Stegostoma tigrinum: one gene and its partners. The protein of the gene in region 1 binds, or shares a complex with, the protein of each later gene. Links are inferred from orthologs where the notes say so. Each region holds a gene or a part of one and is shown in the gene's direction. Other genes may lie near its edges.

The links.
Region 2: MICOS complex subunit mic25-a-like (region 1) and micos13 share a complex: the UniProt entries of both Homo sapiens proteins name them as parts of the mitochondrial contact site and cristae organizing system (MICOS) complex. The link is inferred for Stegostoma tigrinum from reciprocal best matches to the Homo sapiens genes CHCHD6 and MICOS13.
Region 3: MICOS complex subunit mic25-a-like (region 1) and MICOS complex subunit MIC27-like share a complex: the UniProt entries of both Homo sapiens proteins name them as parts of the mitochondrial contact site and cristae organizing system (MICOS) complex. The link is inferred for Stegostoma tigrinum from reciprocal best matches to the Homo sapiens genes CHCHD6 and APOOL.

What each region holds. Positions count from the first base shown.
Region 1 is NC_081364.1:5,900,403-5,908,306, forward strand, and holds the start of MICOS complex subunit mic25-a-like, read left to right. Parts: upstream 1-4,898; 5' UTR 4,899-4,988; coding exon 4,989-5,069; intron 5,070-7,904. UniProt on the Homo sapiens protein: Component of the MICOS complex, a large protein complex of the mitochondrial inner membrane that plays crucial roles in the maintenance of crista junctions, inner membrane architecture, and formation of contact sites to the outer membrane.
Region 2 is NC_081383.1:9,018,910-9,026,622, forward strand, and holds the start of micos13 (MICOS complex subunit MIC13), read left to right. Parts: upstream 1-4,658; 5' UTR 4,659-4,701; coding exon 4,702-4,730; intron 4,731-7,229; coding exon 7,230-7,386; intron 7,387-7,713. Other genes in the region: hsd11b1la (hydroxysteroid 11-beta-dehydrogenase 1-like protein), read right to left, coding at 1,864-1,919, 2,338-2,425. UniProt on the Homo sapiens protein: Component of the MICOS complex, a large protein complex of the mitochondrial inner membrane that plays crucial roles in the maintenance of crista junctions, inner membrane architecture, and formation of contact sites to the outer membrane.
Region 3 is NC_081368.1:65,800,469-65,808,015, reverse strand, and holds the start of MICOS complex subunit MIC27-like, read left to right. Parts: upstream 1-4,519; 5' UTR 4,520-4,581; coding exon 4,582-4,617; intron 4,618-7,547. UniProt on the Homo sapiens protein: Component of the MICOS complex, a large protein complex of the mitochondrial inner membrane that plays crucial roles in the maintenance of crista junctions, inner membrane architecture, and formation of contact sites to the outer membrane.

The sequences.
Region 1 (7,904 bases):
GGGCACATTTGCCAGTGTTTGTGCAGTGTTTAACATGATTAGCAACAAGACAGATGCTGAAGCAGTCCATACCCAAATGCAGCAAGATTTAGACAATGTAAGGCAAGGACCATCTCCAATAAGAGACAGTCTAACCATCACAATGACATTACCATCAGTGAATTCCCCACTATCAACATCCTGGAAGTTACCATTCACCAGGAAGTAAATTGGACTAGTCAGGTAAATACAGTGGCTACAAGAGCAGGTCAGAGGCTAGGAATACTGTCATGAGTAACTAGCCTCTTGCCTCCTCAAAGCTTGTCCACCATCTACAGGGTACAAGTCAGGAGTGTGATAGAATACTCCCTAGTTGCCTAGATGAGTGCCTCCAACAACATTCAAGAAGCTTGACACCATCTAAGACAAAGCAGCCCCTTGATTGGCACACACTCGCGCCTGTTCAGATGCTCAGCAGCAGCAGTGTGTACCACTTATATCATGCATTGCTTGGATAGAGGCTCCTTAGCCAACACTTTCCAAACTCCCAACCACTGATCTAGAAGGACAAGTCAGGGGAAACATGAAGGACACAGAAGAGCTAGTTCCCTTCCAAGCTACTTATCACCCTAACTTGGAAATATATTACTGTTCCTTCACTGTAGCGGGGTCAAACTGTGGAGCTGCCCCTTGCTATGGCATTGTGGGTCTATCTATAGTTGTTGAAGGAGGCAGCTCACCACTACCTTTAGCCAAAATGCTGGCCTAGCCAGTGATGGTCACATCCTATAACTATACGTACATCCAGAAATACGTCAGAAACAAGAATAGGCAACTCTGCCCTGTCAGTTTATAAACCCTTTGACTGTGTTTGCCTTACCCAGATAACATTTGACTGTTCTTGGCCAAGAATCTATGCCTACCTTAAAAATATTCAATGATCCTGCCTGTTGCGGCAGAGAGTTCCAAAGTTTCACTACTGTGAGAAGAAAAAAAAATTGCCCTTGTCTCTGTCATAAGATTGACAACCCTGAAATTTAAACTCTGTCCCCACAGTTCTAGTCCCTCTCACAAGGGGAAAACTTCCTTTCACCGTCCATTCTGTCCAACCCTCTCTGGATGCTACATATCAATCAAGTCACCTCTGAATCTTCTAAACTCCAATGGATATAGACTCAACCTTTCCTCGCTCAGTAACCTCCCATCCCAGGAACTAGTTGAAGTAAACTTATCTGAATTGCTTCAAAAGCATTTACATCTTCCCTTAAGCAAGATCAAAACTGTACAAAATATTCCAGACTTGGCCTCTCCAAAAACTGCAGCAAAACATCTCAACTTTTATATTCCATTTTCCTTGCAGTAAACAAAAACATTCTGTTTGCCTTCCTAATTTCTTGTTGTACCTGTAAACTAATTTAATGCGATTCATGGGCCAGGGCACCCAGATTGTCTGCCTGCCTATCTACACGTGTATTTCGTAACAACGTACAATGAAAAGTATTGTCCACTCTCTGGCACCGACCTAGAACACAACGGGAGTTAAGTGCTCTGTAATGGGTCTGGTGGCCAGTCACGAGTCCCCTTCTCTGTACCACTGCTACTGAAACAAAAGTTGCCACTCTCCAGTGCCATCTCACCTGCTCCAACATCCTCTCCACTTTGAGACCTTTGTGGATTTGCCAGTGCAGTTGCCAGGTACTGCACCAGTCTAAACTCAACTTTGCTGGTGCCATGAGTCTGCTTTGGGACTACTTTGCTAAGGCGCTGCTGCTACTGGGTCTCATACTAGGCCCAAATTTGCCTTTGCTTCTGTGAATCTGTGCTGAATATGGACGCTGCTGGGAAGCCAAACTTGCCTCTGCCGCAGGAGGCATGAGTTGGTGCTAGGACCACCTCTGACGCAGAAGCACTGGGCTTGCTCACTGCTGCCAGTGCAGTTGCTGTGACTGAGCTCTTCAACAAGAGTTAAGTAAAAGAAGGAAAAAAGTGAAAAGCGGATGATCCCCAGGCTGAGGAGCCCAACTCTGCGGCCATCCACACCTCAGATCCCGCTGCACGTCAGACTTCTGCAAAGGTCCTGATTCAAAACATCAACTTTCCTGCTCTTCAGATGCTGCCTGGCCTGCTGTGTTCCTCCAGCTCCACACTGTTGTCTCTGACTCCAGCATCGGCAATTCTTACTATCTCCTATAAAATATATGCTGCTTATCCATTTGAAAATAAGAAATGGGCCCAGCTCAAAACTTATTGAAAGTGAGGAAGCAGTTGTCTGCTGCTGAGAGATTCACAGAATCAACTGGAGAAATCTTTGGGGGGTGGGGCGGGGGAGACTCACAGTCGGTGCTGCTACTGCCAAGCCAAAGGAAAGGACAGTTTTTAGGTTAACCACCAAGCAAGAATGTTGATACAGATGGATTACCAATTTGTAATCGAGTTTTGAGAAGATTTGTAGCTCAGGTTGAGGTTCTGGATGTGAGTTTGCTCGCTGAGCTAGAAGGTTAGTTTTCAGACGTTTCGTCACCATTCCAGGCAACATCAGCAGTGAGCCTCCAACGAGAAAGTGGGACATAACACCAGCGCTTCGTTGGAGGCTCACTGATGATGTTACCTAGAATGGTGACGAAACGTCTGAAAACTAACCTTCCAGCTCAGCGAGCAAACTCACATCCAGAACCAATTGTAATGGTTGGAATTATACCTGGCACAATGGAAGATGGTTGTGGTGATTGGAGGTCAATCATATCTACACGTGGCATCACTGCTGGAGTTCCTCATGGGTAGCATCCTTTGTCCAACCATCTTCAGCTGTTCCATCAACAACTTGTGCTTCATCATAAGGTCAGAGAAATGGATGCACACTGATGATTGCATATGTTTAGTAACATTTGCAGCTCCTCAGATACAGAAGCAGTCCATGTCTATTTGCAGCAAAACCTTGAGGCTTTGGCTCATAAATGGTGAATAATATTGTCTCACACAAATATCAGGCAGTGACCATCTTCAAAAAGAGACAATTTAAACATTTCTACTTCTGTATCAGTGAATCTCTTGATATCAAGTCCATCAGGATTTCCATTGACCAGAAACTTAATTAAATCAGCCATTGGCTACAGAGTAGAAATGACACGTTTCTATCAGACTATTGAGGAAACGCCTTCATTTCACACGATTGGATATTTGAATGAATATGCAATTAATGGATAGAGTTGCTCACTAATCCAAGTATGAAACTTACCAAATTTAGCCATTTCGATGATCAATCTCGTAAAGATTACCAAAACATGCAGGAGACTAATCTTTTAATCTTGTACGCAACAGTGTAGGATGCAAGAAACAGACCTGGGCGGGGGAAAAAAATACCAATTGTACACTTGAGAAAATGTTGCTGATTAGTTGGGCCATTGATGCCATGGAGATACAACATGACCCCAACTGTCAATCTTCGTTTTCAGGCCAAGCAGGTAGACTTTTACGAGTCAAGATAGTTGCCACGAGAAAGTAATAGTTTTATGACCCACTGGGGAAGCATACTGTTTATTGAGGGCTGATATTTCTGGAATTGAATCAAACATTTTAAAAAAATCATTTAAAGTGTACACAGTACCCCAATTTATCAGACATTCAGGTTAATCAAAAGCTTGGGCTAGGTTTGTGTACAAGCCAAGAATTATTAGTTATTACAAGTAATTATACTGCAGCTACAGGTAAGCAAATATAAGCTATTAGCATGCAATGCTAGGAGCCGAAGATTAGAATTTTGAGTTTGCCCCTCCCACATATACCCCACAAATAGGGAAAGTAGATTATTGGCAAAGGTAGAAAAATTTGGAGTGTAAGTTCAGTCGTCTTTGCTTCCAGTTTTGATGTGTTGAGATGATACTTCTTTGGCTGCTGTTGTTATTCAGATATCTTTTTCTGCTTGCTTCCGTAGGTTAATGAGAAGTACAGAATATCACTTTACATCCTTGCTAATATTTTTGTCCTGGGCCTGCTATACTGTTCCAATGAAACTCAATGCCAGCTGGAGGCCTCAGTATGATTTATGACCTCCATTATTCTTATATCCTTTCTCCAATAGAAAACCTACCCGCCCTGGCTCTGTGTATGTTTGCCTTTGCCCTCAAAGTGGATGTAATTTCTCTTATTCACACCTAACGTTTACACCCAATTTCTAACCTTCTTTCTCTGTCATTAAAATTTCCTTTGTCTGTTGTTCTGTGCATCTTCACGATTTGTTATAACTGCTTTTAGTGATGCCCCCATCAACTCCACTAGAAAACACCCTTGGCCTTTGTTCGTTGGGGGGAAGAATCATGTTCAGATGCTGCTCGAGGCGCGATTATGCTTGTGTACAGCAACACCTTGTGGTGGGCAGCGGACATATATCAGTGCCTCATGTGGCAGGTAGGAAAAGGTGTTGCGGCTTCAGCCCAGCATTTATTGCCCATCCCTAATTGCCCAGAGGGCAGTTAAGTGTCAACCACACTGCTGTGGGTCTGGAGTCACATGTAGGTCATAACAGGTAAGGATGGCAGCTTCCCTCCGTAAAAGATGTTAGTGAACCAGATAGATTTTTCTGACAATTGACACCAGTTTCATGGTCATTATTAGACTCCTAATTCCAGATATTCTATCAATTCAAATTCCACCATGGCGGGGTTCGAACCCGGGTTCCCACAGTTTTACTCGGGCGATCCATTAACAGTCCAGTGATAACATCCCTGGACAATTATCTTCTCCAGCAACGCCTCCTGTGGCGGATGCGGGGAGGTACGGCAATGCACACGGCTAAAACTACAACACCCAGAGGGCCGTGCGGTTGCGCATGCGTCCAAGACGGTTTGTTGCTGCGGCCATGCGCAGCGTCCATCAGGACGCGCTATGATTGGTCCAGTATGGCCGCGACGTCAGGCCACGCCTACTGGTCCAATCGCGTGGGAGGTTACTGGAGGGGGCTTTCGGTCTTTAATGTGCGTTTAGGCAGGAGGATCGTATCGGAGAGACCGTGGATGGGGGCCAGCGGTAGCACCAGGCGTGTGTCTTTCGGCAAAGACGATCAGGAACGAGTGACAGTTTTGCAGGGAATGAGGGTGAGTGAGGTTAGGGGGTGATGGATGGGGGTGGGTGATGGGTAATGGGAGGATGGAGGGATGATGGATGGGAAAGGGGTGATGAGGATGAATAGGAATGATATGATGGGAAAGGGATGAGGAGGTTGAGGGATGATGTCTAGGACCGGATGGGAGCGAGGAGGAGGAGGAGTTGATAGATGGGAATTTGGTGATTTTGGAAATTTGGAAAGGGTGTTGGGAAGACTGTGGGATGACTCATGGGAGGGCAGTGGAGAGGATGGATTCATGATGGATGGGGTGGTGTAGTGGAGGGATATTGGACAGGGTTAGTGGGGGAAGGGGAGGGGTGATGGCTGGGAGGAGTTGAGGAGGAGGATGTGATGGATGGTGGCTGGGTGGGGTTAAGGAGAAAGTTGAAAAGAAAGGATGGGGTGGGAGGGGGCGAGAAGGTAGGGATGGTGGTTGTGTGGGTGTGAGATGGAAAGTGGATGATAAATAGGAGTGTGTTGGAAAAGAGGGTGGGATGTAGGATAGAAGGAAGTGAGGGATGATGATTGAGGGGGGAATTGGATGGGAGGGTTTGGGGAGGAGAGAAGGATGATTGATGTTAAGGGGAGTGTAGGATGGATTGGGAGTGTAGCGGGATGATGGATGGGAGGAGGCTGGATGGCGAAGAAGGATGATGGGTTAGTAAGGGGCTGGATAGGATCGAGATCGTGCAGGAAACGATGTGGGGAATGATGAGAGAAGGCAGGTGGGGATGTGTGGGTGGGGGAGGGATTTTGGGGATGTGGGTGAAATAGGGTGTTGAATGGATGCAGTGAGAGATGAGGTGGATATGGGGATGAGGGCGGGTGTATGGGATGAGGGAGAGATGGGAGGCCGTGTGGTTGTGAGAGTGTAGACGTGGTGGAGGCAAAGGGACCATGACAGGTGAATAGCAGGGGGTGGAGGGATGACGGCAAGATGGGAATTGAGAGAGGTGATCATTCATTCACAACCCTACACAGTAGGTAGTGGTACGGGTTTTATTAGATTTGAATCCTATTTGGTACACTTGGAAATTTAACCTAACCCACATTCTTACATGCAATTGTCATTCACCACTCCTCTTCCCCCTAAAAAAAATCTTGCTTCTAACAACAAGGGTGAACATAGGGCTTCTATTCCTCTCTTTTGATTTGATTTTATTTATTGTTGTCACATGTACTGAGATACAGTGAAACGTGTTGTTTTGCAAGCCTTGCTGGTAGATTGTACCATACAAGCTGCATCGGGTCGCAGAACGAAGTGCAGGATACAGTGTTAGAACTGTGGAGAAGGTGCAGAGATAGAGAGAGATCAATCTCAATCGTTCCTCAGATAATTAGTGGTTAGAACCTTCTTCTGTCACCTACTTTGTCATTTGAAATGACTTTGTCATTTTGACCTGTTCTCCTGACTGGTTAATTTTCCTAACACCCTACTATTTAAATGTAGCAAAGTCTCTTTGTCCTTTTTCCACCACCTCCATAGCTTCAGTCTCTTCAATCTGGGCTCCTGATGGCAAATTGGAATCTGATTTTTATGTGGAATTGAAAAGGAAAGTCAAATCTCTTTTTAGTCAATAACCAGCATTAAGTGTTGGGGAAACTAATGAGGTTAAAGATAGATAGGTCCCCTAGACCTGGTGGGATACTTCTATACATCAGTGGAGCTGAGGTGGAGATGATTGAGAGCATCAAGCTCCTCGGAGTGACAATCACCAATAATCTGTCTTGGACTACCCACGCTGATGCAATGGCCAAGAAGACACAAGGATGTCTCTTCTTCCTCAGAAGGCTATGGAAATTCAGCATGTCCATAAGGATGCTTAACAACTTTTACCGATGCACCATAGAAAGCATTCTATCTGGACACATTATGGCTTGGTACAGGAACTGCTCTGCCCAGGATGGTAAGAAACTACAGAAAGTTTTGTGCACAACCCAGACTATCACACAATTCAACCTTCCATCCATTTCTTGTTGCTGTAGAAAAACAGCCAACATCATCAATGACCCCTCCCACCCCAGTTATAATCTCTTCCACCAGGCAGAAGATACAAAAGCTTAAACACACGTACCAGCAGGTTCAAGAACAACTTCTTCTCTGCTGTTATTAGATTTGAGTGGACCTCTCAAATTTCAAATTTAATGTTGATTTTGTATTTTGTGTACCTTCTTTGCAGGTATAACTTTGTATTCCTCATTCTGTTCAATCACACTATCACCTTTGTGTCTTTGTATGCTATAATCTGCGTGTACTGCATGCAAAACAGAAGTTTTCACTGTACTTAGATACATGTGAGACAATGAAAAGTCAAATCAAGTCAAATGTTAAAGGAAGTGAATACAGAGATGGTGGGTGCACTGATAGTAATCATTTGGCAACCAAACAAATTTAAAGGCTTTGTATCTGAATGCACAAAGCATTTGAAATAAAATTAATGAGCTCATGTCAGATCAGTCATAAACCTATTGAATGACAGAGCGGACTCAAGGGCTGAACTGCCTCTACTTAATCCTATTGCTTATGATCAGGAGAGTGAGCATTCCTTGGGTGGGAATATTCACCTGCTGGCTTTATCCTTCTTGGGCAAGGAAGTTGTGGTTTGCTTTTGAAGTGCGTTGGTAGGTTTGCTGCAATGCGACAGGGCTTTCTTTGCTGTCACCAAGACAATATATGGACCCAACAACTAAATGAAAGAAATCAAAAGAACTATGCATGCTGGAAGTCATAAACAAAAACAGAAATTGCTGGGATAAGTCAACGGAGGAATCCCTCTTCTCTCCAACAGCAGGTTATCACCTAAATCCTTGCTGAGGCATCTTC
Region 2 (7,713 bases), on another chromosome or scaffold:
GCTACTTCCAATGCCTCCCACCCACCACCCCAGCACCCCAAAGGCCACACATCTGACCCTCAGACATGATGTTCACTCCTCTCACCCCCTACGTTATGAACAGAGAGTTGGGATAAGCCTCAGCTCCATAAGCCTAAAGTGGGAGGGAGTGCCCTGGATGGTGGAGCTTTGGTTCAGCCTACAGGGCGAGGGTTACTAATGGGAGCAGGGCCTGACAATCCCAAAAGGGTTTGGAGATAGACAGAGGGCTACCAGATGCTGAGGCACATTGTCTCAAAGGCTGGCTCTAGAGCTTCATCCCATGTTGAAAGAGAGACCAAGAAAGCAAAGGACAGCCTTCCAACTCTCACTCCTCACTAATCACTCCTCATACCTCATCCAGGTCAGTGCATGCCAGCTTAAATCCTCCCATATTCCCTTATACCCCCGGGGTCAACATATGGTTACCAACATACTCTCCTGGTCCCTTATAGACCCCATGCCAATTTTGCATCTACTAGCATCAACCCACAGCCCTAACCACCACCTTTTGTCCTTTCACATTCCATGCTAACTCACACCATATCCATCAGAGACACATCTCAGGACTCAGGTTGAGAAGGAATAACATCAAATTCTAAGTGTCCACTGATTACTTAACAATTTTTAAAAAATGGTTCATTGATCAAAGCCCGTTCATCGATTACTAATCCCTCATAAAACCCAACATTCATCCAAGTACTTAATCCCAAATAAAATCAAGCATCTGTATCCAGAGCCCCACATTGTATAACCACTTGGAATTCTCAATTAAACTGTGTCAAAATAGCACCCCGATGTGACAACGGTAGATTGTTGAACTAGTCATAGAGCACAAATTTGATAATGATAGCCCTAGGGCTGATATGTGTAAATGGTGAAATAATGTGCACAGATTTAAGAAGAAACGTTTTTATGTTTACAATATATCAAATGGCTTGGATGAAGAAAGTGAACATCAAGTTTGAGCAAAATAAATGCCAAAGAAATCAGTTGATAACCTTAAAAAATGAGCAATTAGTAATAAAAAAAATTGCCTCTCAAAATGTCAAGTAGCAGAGAAAACAGATAAAACTTTTTGTTGCTGTTTTGTTTAAGTGTCAGTGAGAAATAAACTTGAGTGCAACCCCTCATCACCAGGGAAAGGGAAGATGAGAGGAGCTAAGTTTAGGTGTTAGCTTTAACAAACATCAGTGTGCAATTACATCTGGTGTTGTACCCTCCAAACTGACCTGGGCAAAACTCATGCAAAAGTGAGAGAGAAAAAGGCCTTACTGACTGGATTTTCCTCCTCATGCAGCTTAGTGCATAGTTAGGTTTCAGAGGACGTGTTGAGTTCACTGCTCATCCCCAGTCCCAGGTTCTCATTTAGTCTCTCCCTCCCCTTCTCACACACTCCCTGTTTTCGCAGTGCCTCATTCACACACCTCCCCTGTTATTTTCACACACAGGCCCCTTCTCTTTCACTTCTTCACATAACACTCCACCTCTTCTCTCACTGACAAACACTCTCTGCCTCACTCTCTCAGACCCATCTACTCTCTCACTTGAGGGGTGTGTTTAGGTCTCACCTCAGTACTAACACTTTCAGAGAACTGCAACCTTACACAACATGCCCTTCGCTCTCTCCCTCCTTCTCTCTCTCTCTCATACACACTGTCTCTATCCCGCTTACAGGCTGTGCCTCTCTTTCTCATACTCATACATTCAGGCTTTCTTTTCTCAGAGATGCTGTCTTTCTCTCATCTCACTTAAAGACTGTCTCTCTCTCTCTCTATTTCACTCTCTCACACACACCAAATTCTGGACTTTGTGCCCCTCTAACTCAAACTCTGTGTCACTCACCTTCTTAGTCAAGAGTCTGGATTTTAAAAGCACCTGCTGGGTGTATTTTTTGTGTTCTTCATGGAATACAATAAAAAGGTGAATTTAACACACACTCAAATACATGATTCACACTCAAATACATGACACAGAAACAGCTAATAAAGCAACAACAACTTGTACACAGCACTTTTAAGGTAATAAAAACTTTGAGGGTGCTTCACAGGAGTGTAATGAAATAAGATTTGATACTGAGAATACAAGAATATGTTAAGTCAGATGACCAAAAGCTCAATCAAGGGGCTACATTTTAAGAAGAGTCCTAAAGTGGAAAGCACAGTAAGAGGAGGAGAGGTGTAGGGAGGGAATTGCAGAGATTAGGAGATAGGCAGCTGCAGCATATTCAGCAATGTTGGATCAATTAAAGTTGGGAAAGCTCAAATTTACCCTAAAGATTGCAGAATAAATTGCATCAAAAACCTTAAAATTCCTTACCAAAATCAAAATTGTCTCTCCACAATATTGCCAAAAGCCCTGCAGAAACCGTTAAAATGAGAATGAAAAAGCTTTTAAAGCCTGCCATTTCTGAGTATCCAAATTCCAACGGCAAAGCATGGTGAATGAGAGGTTTTATTGACACGTTAGTTATCGTGAGTGCTGTTGGCAATACTAGTATTTATTGGCTATCTCTGAGAAGTGCGTAAAGTTTTACTGCTCACTTTAGATTGAATTGCAGCATTGCAAGATTAAAGTTATTTATTCCATGAAACAAAGTGGTCGAATGTTGATGAAGGGACACTGGATCAGGGTTTGTAGTCACTGCAATATTTTATAACCACCCCTTAACTTCTGGCTTCTAATTCTAAACTTTACTAAATTCAACTTCCACTATTTGCTCTGACAGAGTCTGTACCCAGATTCCCAGAACATTACCTGGGTCTCTGGATTAACAGTTCAGCAATAATAGCATTAGTCAATCATTGGTGAGACCACTTCCAAAAGTAGTCTCACGAATGTCTGGTACAACTGCAAAATGAGGTCCGAACTCCTATACTCAATGCTCTGCCCAATTAAGGAAAGCGTGTCAAAAGCCTTTACGAACCTTGTTTACTCGTGATGTCATTTACAATGAGCTATGAACCTGCAACCCTAGATCAGTATGTTCAACAACTCTCCAGGGTTCTACCATTAACTACGTAAGTCCTGCCCTGGTTTCCTTACTAAAACGCAACACTTCGCATTTATCTCAATTAAACTCCATCTGCTATTTCTCAGGCCATTGGCCCATCTGATCAAGATCCCTTTGTACTCTTAGATAATCTTCTTCACAGTCCACTATGTCAGCAATTTTGGTGTCATTTGAAAACTTCCTAACCATACCTCCTATATTCTCATGATCTCCTGATGTCCCTCATGGCACAGATACATGACCTGATCTCCCTCATCTAGTAGGATGACAGCATGCCCGCAGATCTCTGAAATGCTGTAATGGTAAAATGAAAGGAGTTATGACTAATTGTAGTAACTGCAGTAGAGTATACCTGATGCCCACGACGGGGATGGTCATTACAAGAAGCGTCCTCAACATTTGGAGTCGCAGGATCAGAAGCAGCAGTGGCCAGCGTGTTGCTCTGCCCCTCCCCCTCAGGCTACAAATCTAATATTTCTTGCTGTTCTGTGGCAGGACCTTTGACGTCCCTGAGTGTCAGTGGCTTCCAGAGCCAGAGGCTAATGCGTCCACACAACATTTGGCATGCAGCTTAGAGGGAAAATTGCTTTGAGGTCTGAACCCCATCCCACCTCATAGAATCATGGAAATGTACAGCACGGCAACAGACCCTTTGATCCAACTCATCCTTGCGACCAGATATCCTAAATGAAGTCCCATTTGCCAGCATTTGGCCCATATTCCTCTAAACCTTTCCTATTCATATGCCCATCTTTTTAGATGTTGTAATCATACCAGCCTCTAGCACTTCCTTTGGAAGCTTATTGCATACATACACCACCCTCTGCGTGAAAATGTTGCCCCTTAGATCCCCTTTAAAACTGTCTCCTCTCCTTGAACCTATGCCCTCTAGTTTCAGACTCTCATAGGTCTCTCGACCCATCCACCAATAATCACCCCTACCCAGCTCTCGTGTTAAATTGGAGATCACGACAGCTTTGAAGCCTAAAATTAGGATTAAAGTGAGAAAAGATCTGGGTATCACTTTGCCACACTCACTGAAATTATCCTGTGAACATTATTTTTTCTCACACCTTTCTGTTTTTGTACCCCTAGCTTATCCTGTAATTTTATATTGTCCCTCCTGGTTCTCTCCACAAAATACAGCTCTTCCCATTTCTCTGGGGTCAATTAAATTCGCCTGTGGTCTGGGCACCAAATGCCCCTGTGCTTTAAGACAGTTGACAAAGTGTGCATCGTTCGCAAAATTCTCATATTGGGTCCTGGCAGGTGGTGTGGGAGGAACTTGGGTTGAACTGTGCAGGAGATTAATAAATAAATTAGGTGAAGGATGAGGATGGGAGTCCTGCATTGCTATAGCACCTCCAACCTAGTCCACAAAGCGACTGGCAGAGAGGAGCCGCCAGTATCAAAGATGGCTGCGCCCAGTAACGGGCTGAAGGTCAAAAACACCTCCCCCACCGCCCGATTGACGGGTGAGAGGGAAGGTTACGGAGAAGGGACCGGGAGTACGGGCATCGAGGGCCCGAAGAGTGGCGGAGAGGGAGGGGAAAAAGTGGGAAGTGGAGGGGATGTTCGGGAATAATTTTAAAAACCGAGTGGCTGCGGCAGCTGGAGTGACGTAGCGGGGGCGGGAAGGTGAAAGGTCACAGGAGGAGCACAGACCGCTCATGGCGTCCGGGGTTGTCAAAGCTGTCAGGTTCGGGACGATGGGGTTGTTACTGTGGAACAAGTTTGGGACGGGGGTGAGGGTAAATTTGGAATAAGTATGGGACTGGGGAGAGGTGTTATGGTAGGAGGGGGCGCGGCAGCGGGTGAGGACAGAGTAAACGACCCGGAGTGGGGGAGGGGACTCTGTTATTTCAGATGTTTTATATCTCTGCTAATGGACCCAGTACTCTCAGTTACACTGAAAACTGCTCTTGAATGATAAGAATTGCTACTTTTACTTAACGTTCCATCAAATTTACCAAAATCGCCACAGGCACTAAAAGCTTTCTTAAATCCCAAGATATTCAAGGGGCAATTGGAGAAGCTGAAATAAATTTATTAACTAGCAATAGAGGAAAAAGTACTCAGGAAGCTTGTTGTGGACCAGACCTGGGCAGACAATGGTGGTATTCTTGCTGGACTATTAATCCAGAGACCCAGATAGTGTTATGGGGACCTAGGCTCAAATTCCTGCCATGGCAGATAGTGGAATTTGAGTTCAATACAGTATCTGGAATTAAGAATCTAATGATGACTGTGAATGCATTGTCAATTGTCAGGAACAACCCATCTTGTTCACTAATGTCCTTACCTGCCTGGCCTACAGTGCAACTCCACACCCACAGCAATGTGGGTGACTTTTAACTGCCCAGAGAGCAGTTAGGGATAGGTAATAAATGCTGGCCTAGCCAGTGACACCCTCATCTTGTAAATGAATAAAAAGGAGACCGCCTCAAAATATTTGAAGAAGGTAGCCTAGACCTTAACTTTTCCTTATTTTAAAGGTAGATGTGAACTGCGTGTTGCAGATGTGACACAACTGATAAAATTACTCAATGTTAAGCAAAATACAATTTATTTAAACACTACAGTTAATATACAAACAAAAGAAAGAGGAATATGGAATAACTTAAGTATTGGAAAACTTAACCAAATAACAGATACGGTACATATCACTAATTAAGTGTTCCATGTAGTAATATTCCAAAGACATATCCCTTGGCAAAAAGGTAAATTCAGAAACAATCTTTCTCGCAGGACAAAATAACATTGAGAGGTTTCAGAGAAAGTCGCAGTTAGGAATCATTTACTGAAGCTCCAACTCTTCTGGGACTTGAGCAGCTTCTGACAGCTACAGCTAAACTACTGTAGAGCCTGATTTGTGAGAACTGGCCACTCCCCTTCCATTGTTACAACTGTTTTTAAACAAATCTAAAGGCCTCTTAAACAATTGACTTAGGCCATCTCCTGTCGCCACTTCAGGAACTATGTCTTTACAACCCCTCTTCAAAAAAAACCCAAGACAAAATAACCTTTATAAAGTGACAGTGTCATCACAAACTCGTGGGGCTAAAGACCAATCATGAAGAAGGGTCACCAGACCCATAACATTAGCTCTGATTTCCCTCCACAGATGCTGCCAGATCTCATGAGCTTTTCGAGCAATTCTGTTTTTGTTTGTGTTTGTAAAACATTGAGAGTCGGGATTTTCAGGATCACACCCTGTGATAGTGGTGTACTTTGTTAGGAAAGTTAGAGGAGTTAAATATTATTTAAAGACTGCAGGAAGGTACAGAATAGAGATTTACAAGTTCTTGTCTTTGAATCACAAAGAGCATCCAAGATCAGTAGGTAACAGGAAAGGCAAATGGGACATTCTGATTGGAGTATTTTACTATATAAGACACAGTCAGACCATAGCTAGAATACTATTACAATTTTGGGCCTCATTTCAGGAAAGATATATTGTCTTGGGAGGCAGTCCAGATAAGGTTCATGACACTGATAACAGGCATGGAGGGACTGTCTTCTGAGAAGAGGTTGAGTAGATTGGGTCTGTGGTCACTTGATTACAGAAGAATTAGAAGTCATTTTATTGAAACAGACATGATTCTCTCTGGACTGAACAGGGTTGATGCAGAAATGTGGGTTTCTTCTCACGGGGACAGTATAGGACCAGAGGCATATTTGTAGTATAAGGGTTTGCACGTTTGAATCAGATGAGAAATTTCTGTGGAATTCTTTACCATAGAGGGCTGGATTATTAAGTCTTTTCAAGGTTGTGAGAGATTTTTAATCAGTAAAGAAATCAAGGATTACGGAAAAATTGCAGGAAAGTGGACTTAAGGATTTTCAGATCAGCCATGATGTCGTTGAATGGTGGAGCAGACATGATGGACCGAATAGCTGACCTCTGCACACATGTCTTATGGCTATCCAGAAGAAATGACAACATGCAGTCACCTATTTTAAGCTAAGTGACTGATCAATCTACTTTAAAGACATGCTGTTTGGGAGAAGAAAGTTACCTCAAATGATGTTAAACTCATTGTTTTGTTGTTGTTTGAGGCAGAACAGTTGTCTGAAATCTAAAAGCAGAGGAATCATACTGTTTATCTATTTGAGCCCAGACTGATTATTGTCCTCATTTTTTAGTGAGGTTGAATTCATGTTCCTATTTTGTTTTTCCTAATGGTTTTGTTTCAAGGTTCTTCACAAAGTTTGGGATAATTGGAGGCACTGTGTACATTATTTATGACCAGGACTTATTTGGAAATGGGGAGCGCAGTTTGGAGATACTGAAGACTACGGCAGATGAGCTCCCGGTTGCTATGGATCACTGGGCCAAGTATTTTGGTGTGGAGGTACAGTATATAATCTGAGAAAATATTTGTTTATTCTTTGTCTCCTCTCTCCTGCTCCTGTTTTGATTGAACTGGGTTGCCATTGTTACCAGAAGCCGTCCGTTCCGTTGCCCAAGAAGCTTTACTTCTGGCGTGAGTTCAAAAGTATTGTACAGGGACTCTGTAGTTGGATATGTGTGTGTGCGTGAGTGAAAGAATATGAGAAAAATTGCACCCAAGAAGAGACTGATGCAACTAGCTGGCTTGTTAGAAAATGGCTAGTTGGAAAATGTTAATCCATTCTAAAGGATGTAATAGCAAAACATTTAAAAATACATTATATAATTA
Region 3 (7,547 bases), on another chromosome or scaffold:
CCCAACTCCTAAACTCAAAACATTGCCCAATGAAGGCAAGTGTAACCTTAAGTATTTTTTCTGTAATAATGATTTTCATTCGATTGCAGTGAGGGTTATAAGACTACTAGGTCTGTTGTTTCCCTGGCTCATCTTTATTAGTACACTGGTTTTCTCCAATTTAGCTAAAAATTAACAACATGGAATTATCTAAGCCCATTTCTTCCAACTGATAATGATCAAGAAAACAGCCAATACAGCAGATGGTGGATAGAATCAATATTTTCTCGTCATGGTAATTACATGAATCTGCAAGTACATTTCACAAAAAAGAACGCTTGCCTAATCTTTGAAAACCTCAGTGACAAGGTTATCCAGTTTCAGCCTGATCAAAAAAGGTATAATATCCAGCATCACATCCATAAGAAGAAAAACTAATTTATCTGATGCTTTCAACCCCTACCTTCAACCTTTAATTGTTGCTTAGCTTCTTACTTGGTAAAAGCTGCAGCATCTCGTGATCCAAAGGGTCTGAATGTTTGGGAAATGCACATTTAAGGATCAATATTTATGTAATAAATCTCAGTAGGTTGTTTCAGAGGATTTCGGATGTGTTTTATATCAGCTGCAGCAATTGTTAATTCATCACTGCTGTTACAGGGAGTGTGCCAATGTTTTGAAAAAACACAAACAGTATTTGGCTGTTCAAAAGCTGAGATTGTTTTAGTTTACTGCAAGATAGGATGCTGTTACATGCAAGTGGCTGTGATATAAACAGTTCAAATTACTGTTACACAAGGCAAAAGGTATGAATACAAATTGAATCCTGACAAACAGCTCAAAAACTCAGTGTAACAGCTTGACTGACATTCTTTTAACAATGGTTTTACGAGAGGATAGGTAGGCAAATATTACAAATTTATGGACCAAAATAATGCTGTATACTCTATAGACCCCTCGGTTCGATGGAAATAAAGTGACTGCCAATAGATCCTCAGCTTTTATAGAATCCCAACAGTGTAGATGGAGGCCTTTTAACCCATCAAGTCTGTACTGACCCTCCAAGGAGCATCCCAGCCTATCCCTGTAATCCCACATTTACCAAGGCTAATCCACCCAGTCTGCACATCTTTGGACACCACAAGGTAATTTTCAATGGCCAAGCCACCTAATATGCACATCTTTCGATGTGGGAGGAAATCGGAGTAGACAGAGGAAGAACATACAAACTCCACACAGACGTTCACCTGGAATCAAACCCAGGTCCCTGCCGCTGTGAGGCAGCATTGCTAACCACTGAGCTACTGTATCTCCTTTTGGGTTCATGTCCTGAATATCACAAGCCCCAATAAATTGAATGACTGGATTGTAGATTGAGTAGAATGACCCCTTAAATGTCGAAAGGAGTTTGTCTTTTAGCCTCAGTTTTATAGCACAAGTCAATATTCCTTCTTCTCTGTACCCACAATAGGGTCAACATATTGACACCCATCAGGATTTCATACCAATTCTCCACCAAGATTACCAACAGTGTAATTGGTGGTATTTGAACAAGGTACTGCATGCTCCAATCTTCTCTTTAATTGGGCACCTGAAGATACAGCATAGTGGATGATTGGCTCCTCCATACCCTTTTGTTTAAGTGCTTTGCCTGCCATATCGGCCAGGAGTGGATACACGAATTGGTCAGGCATATATAAATTTGATGCTTGGTCCCATTATGTGGGTGAATTAATCTTTTCTAAATTTGTTAATGAAAGAGCACAACCACACTGTGCTTTCCTAGATCATATTTTGTGATATATCACTGGAGCAGGTGGGATTTAAACACAAACTGTCTGGCCCAGAGGTAGGGACACTACCACTGTACCATTTCCCCAAAATATAAGTTTTATGTTTTCTTTATTGAGTTGCCAAAAAGATTTGGCGCATTCCTTCTAGCACCTGAATAAATTTGTGGATTTTTGCCATTCATCATCTTTCACATCTGCCCCCAACCCTTGCCAAGGTAGCCTTTCTCTCAATTCTGCCACGGTGTCTAAAATTACAAGACTAAAAACATCAAAGTATTTAATTGACTGTGAACTGTTTCACGCATCTTCAAAGTTTTGAAAGGTCAAGTTGTGTCTAAATTCTTTATTTTCTTTAGCAAAGATCTGTCGCTGGAGTTGTTGGTTGCTCGCCGAGCTGACTGGTTAGGTGACATCTTCAGTCCTGTCTAGCCTCCGTTGAAGTGCTGTTCTATTCTCTTCTGAAATTATATGGTCCAGTCTGTTATGGTGGATAGTTGTGTTTCTGGTTTCACTCCATAATGTTATGTTGTTGGGGTCTATTTCAACATGCTTGTTTATGGTACCAGTAGTTGAAAACCAGGCTTCCAAAAATTCTCATGCTCGTCTTTGTTTTGCTTAGACCATAAGACCATAAGACATAGGAGTGGAATTAAGGCCATTCGGCCCATCGAGTCCACTCTGCCATTTAATCATAGCTGATGGGCATTTCAACTGCACTTCCCAGCACTCTCCCTATGGCCCTTAATTCCTTGTGAGATCAAGAATTTATCAACCTCTGTCTTGAAGATATTTAACATCCCGGCCTCCACTGCGCTCCATGGCAATGAATTCCACAGGCCGACCACTCTATGGCTCAAGAAATGTCTCCTCATTTCCGTTATAAATTGACCCCCTCTATTTCTAAGGCTGTGCCCAAGGGTCCCAGTCTCCCCACCTAATGGAAACAATTTCCCAGTGTCCACCCTTTCTAAGCCATGCGTTATCTTGTAAGTTTCTATTAGATCTCCCCTCAACCTTCTAAACTCTAATGAATACAATCCCAGGACCCTCAGCCCATCATCATACGTTAAACCTACCATTCCAGGGATCATCCGTATGAATCTCCGCTGGACACGCTTCAGTGCCAGTATGTCCTTCCTGAGGTGTGTGGGGCCCAAAATTGGACACAGTATTCTAAATGGGGCATAACTAGAGCTTTATAAAGTCTCAGGGGTACATCGCTGCTTCTATATTCCAACCCTCTTGAGATGAATGACAACATTACATTCACTTTCTTAATCACGGACACTACCTGCAAATTAACCTTTAGAGAATCCTGGACCAACACTACCAGATCCTTTTGTACTTCGGCTTTATGAATTTTCTCACCATTTAGAAAATAGTCCATGTCTGTATTCCTTATTCAAAAGTGCAAGACCTCGCATTTGCTCACGGTGAATTTCATCAGCCAATTCCTGGACCACTCTCCTCAACTGTCTAAATCTTTCTGCAACCTCCCCACCTCCTCAGTACTAACTGCCTGTCCACCTATCTTTGTATCATTGGCAAACTTCGCCAGGATGCTCCCAGTCCCTTTATCCAGATCATTAATATATAAAGTGAACAGTTGCGGCCCCAAAACTGAACCCTACGGGACACCACTTGTCACCGGTTGCCATTCTGAAAAAGAGCCTTTTATTCCAACTCTCTGCCTTCTGTCAGACAGCCAATCCACAATCCAAACCAATAGCTCACCTTGAACACCGTGGGCCCTCGCCTTACTCAGCAGCCTCCCGTGAAGCTTGTCCGAACTTTTCATTTTCTCTAGGTATTGGGATATGTGTCAGTATTGTTAGCGATGGGGTATTGTCCCTGGGGGACTGTATCAGTAATTGAGAAGGTAATGGTTAGGCATGCCTCTGACTTGTGAGTCAGTATTTGAGAGGCTGTGTGTTGCTGGGGTCTGTCGATATTTGAAGGTTTTTTTTCTACAAATGTGATTATAGTTGCAGCATGTCTTTTGGCTTGCGACTCCATTTGCTGAGACTTGTCCCAGAGGGTATCCGTTTCCACATATGCAGTCCCCATCATACATAATCGTGGGGAGCTCTCTTTGACTGCGTGTTTCTTCAAACAACAACTAAATCAAGCTTATCCATACCCTTTATTGTATTAAAAGCCTTCCAAGCTGTTTCACATATCGTCAGAGACATCTTCACTGGGTACTGTGTCATCAACAGAGTCATCCTCATGGGGAATATAAAAAGAAACCCTTGTGGGTGATACGTTTCCCATGGGGACGACCCTGGTGATGATAAGTTGCCTATGAAGATGACTTTAGTGATGATAATTATCCCAATTAACATGACTCTGGTCAGCACAGGCACTCCCAAGACCTTAGAGCCGGCGCTGAAAGTTTTGCGCATGTGATGGACGTCAATGCCGTGGTGAAAGGCGCATGCTCCAACACCGGGTCACAAAAGCTGACGTTTCGGGCCTAGGCCCTTCTTCTGGAGAAGGGAAAAGTCAGCCTTCCTGCTCCTCTGATGCTGCTTGGCCTGCTGTGTTCATCCAGCTCTACACCTTGTTGTCTCAGATTCTCCAGCATCTGCAGTTCCCACTATCTCTGAGGGCAGTCTGTAAGTTCCAAAGCCGGCACCTCGTGCACTGCGCATGTTTCGACACCGCCTGCTCGGCTCAGCCCATGTTCTGTCCCCGGCTCCTCGGACACTGCGCATGTTCTGGCGCCTGCTCCTCCGGCACTGCGCATGTTCTGGCGTGTTCTTCGTGGACTGATCATGTTCTGGCGCCGGTTCCTCGGGCACTGCGCATGCCCGGAGCCGGCGGTGTCGTGATGGCGTTTCAGGTGAGTGTCCGCAGGCCTGTTGTGCGAACGTGAGAGGCGGGGTCCTAGCGGCCGTTACTCATTTTATTGTGCTACTGTGGTCCAGGGCAGCAGGACTCCGGGCGTTTGTATGGACTGACAGTCTGAATGATAAGATGTTATCAGAAAGTTGGCCTCTGTGTGAGAGTTTGTGGATCAGCACCAAGGTACATTCATGTAGCGCCTTTAAAGCGACGAACCATACCTGTGCGCTTCACAGGAGCATTCTAGAATAACAGCATTCAGCCTCATAAAGAAATAGGGTCAAATGACCAAAGCTTGATCAAAGAGGTGTTAATTGGCAAATAACCTTGGTATTTTTAGGAGGTGTGGGGCAGGCTGCCTGGACCTGGAGCAGAGACAGAATGCTGGAGAAATTCAGGCCTGAATGCACCTGAGGAGTGAGAAACAGAATTTATGTTTCGGGTCTGATCTGTCTCGGTCGGAACTGAACAAGTGCCGGAGCGGACTTGAAGCATTAATTCTGTTTCTTTTTCCAACATTCTCTGTTTGTGTCTGATTTCCAACATCCACAATGTTTTGCCTTTATTTGAGGTGGAGATGGTCACTGTACGTTCTGATGATATTGCCGGGGGTTACTTACACTCTGAGGAATTGAGGGTAGTTGGGAGAGAGGAAGCAAGGATAGATCCTTTTGGGTGACACCAGTGATCATAATGACAAAACAGATAAAGAAGCTACAGCAAGTGACTAATGTCAGATAAATGAGAATTGAGCTGGGAGTGTAACTCCACCCATCTGGCCACTGAAGCAGAGGTGGGAGATGGTGTGATCAGCTGTGCATAACTCAGAATTCTACAGTGTGGGAACAGGTCCTTTGGCCCAACAAGTCCATACTGACCCTCAGAGCATCCCACCCAGATCCATCCCTAAAAGCCACCTAATCTACACACCCCTGAACACTTTGGGAAATTTATCATGGCAGTCCACCGAACCTGCGCGTCTTTGGACTGTGGGAGGAAACCTCCACCAACACGGGATGAATGTGCAAATTCCACACAGACAGTTGCCCAATGATGGAATTGAACCTGAGTTCCTGATACTGTGAGGCAGCAGTGCTAGCCATTATGCCATATGCTGTGTTAAGAAAATATCTGTGGGTATGTACCTGTGTATGTTTAGGATTTGTTTGATGTAAATATTCCTTCATAGGAGTGTTATCAAAGAAAGTGTAGTTCCAGACCTCGTGAAATATTAGGACATGTGTCCAAAACCTTGTTCAACAATTATGTTTTAAATTCTGTCCTAAAGGAAGGGAGAGACATTTCGAGTGGGAATCCTAGCTCCTAGGGTTTAGATTGCTGAAGGAACTAACATTTTTAAAAAGGGTGTGGTAAAATATTAATATCTGCTTGATTTGCAGTGAACAGCTGTATAACACTTAGTGAAAATGCATATTATATTTTATATCTGGTGTGAATGCTGTTATGATACACTTTGTCAACACTTGGGAACATGAGACATTTAATATCAAACATTCCCATTGTCAGATATGGTGCAGCTAGACAATAAAATTGCTGTCACCATGCCTCACCAAAGTGCCTCAACTTCAACAAAGAATGCAATGATTTTGTTGTTTTCCATTTTAGTTTTCCTTAAACCATGCTCAAGTGACAGTGCCTGAAAGGAAACAGTGCAGTGTTGAGTGCTTATTAAACTGAGACTCTTCTCACATTAATGCACTATCGTTTACATAGAGTTGATCTAACTCGTCCAGGCTGACCAAATATCCAAAATTAATCTAGTCCTATTTCCCAGCATATGACGCATATCCCTCTAACTCCTTCCAATTCACGTGCCCATCCAGATGTTTTTTTAAATCTTGTAATTTTACCAGCCTCCACCACTTCATCTGGCAGCTCATTCCATACACACACCACCCTGTGCAGGAAGAGGTTGCTCCCAGGTCCCTTTTAAATCTTTCCCCTCACCTTAAACTATTGTCCTCTAGTTTTGGACTCCCCTACCCTGGGGAAAAGGCTGTTCACCCTCTCCATTACTCTCATGATTTTATAAACCTGTATTACGTCACCCCTCAGCCTCTAACACTCCAAGGAAAATAGTCCAACCATATTCAGCCTCTCCCCTATAGCTCAAGCCCTGCAACCCTGGCAACATCTTTGTTAGATAAGACTTTAAAAGCCAGAGTTGGGTTTGGAGCGCAAGTCCTAAATCTGGTGATTCCAAATCTCTGAGAGAAGATTTTCTAAATTGACAGCGCTGAATTAAATGTGGTTGTGTGGCCTTTTTCACTGAGTAAGCTCCACATTTTCTAAAGAGCTCTTGTGACACAGCAAGGCAGGAGCTCCATGGTCAGATTCAGTTTACCTGCTCAATGGCCGTGGAAGTTGTGCTCATCATGTGGCCAAACAGGTCGAACATCAACCGGTAAACCCTTCAAATACAGAAATAGGTGGTAAGAGCTTAACAGTTTCCAATTGGCCAGAACTATGGTTTAGTTTTCTTTTTCTTTGTTCGTTAATGAGAGAACATCGCTGGCTAGGCTGCATTTATTGTCCATCCCTAAATGCCCAGAGGGCATTTCCGGGTCAACCACATTGCTGTGGACCTGGAGTCACATGTAGGCCAGACCAGGTGAGGATGGCAGTTTCCTTCCCTAAAAGACCTTAATGAGCCAGATGGGTTTTTTCCCCCAACAGTCGATTCAAGGTCATTAGATTGTTAATTCCAGACTTTTTTATTGAATTCAAATTCCACTGTCTGCCGTGGGGAGATTCAAATCCAGGTCCCCAGAATATTATCCAGGTCTATGTAGTAACAGTCCAGTGATAATACCACTCAGCCATTCCCTCCCTGTACTGTGCACAACAGCAACCATTCATTTAAAAAAAAATTCCCAAGCACAGGTTCTTATCATGTACTGGACTCCG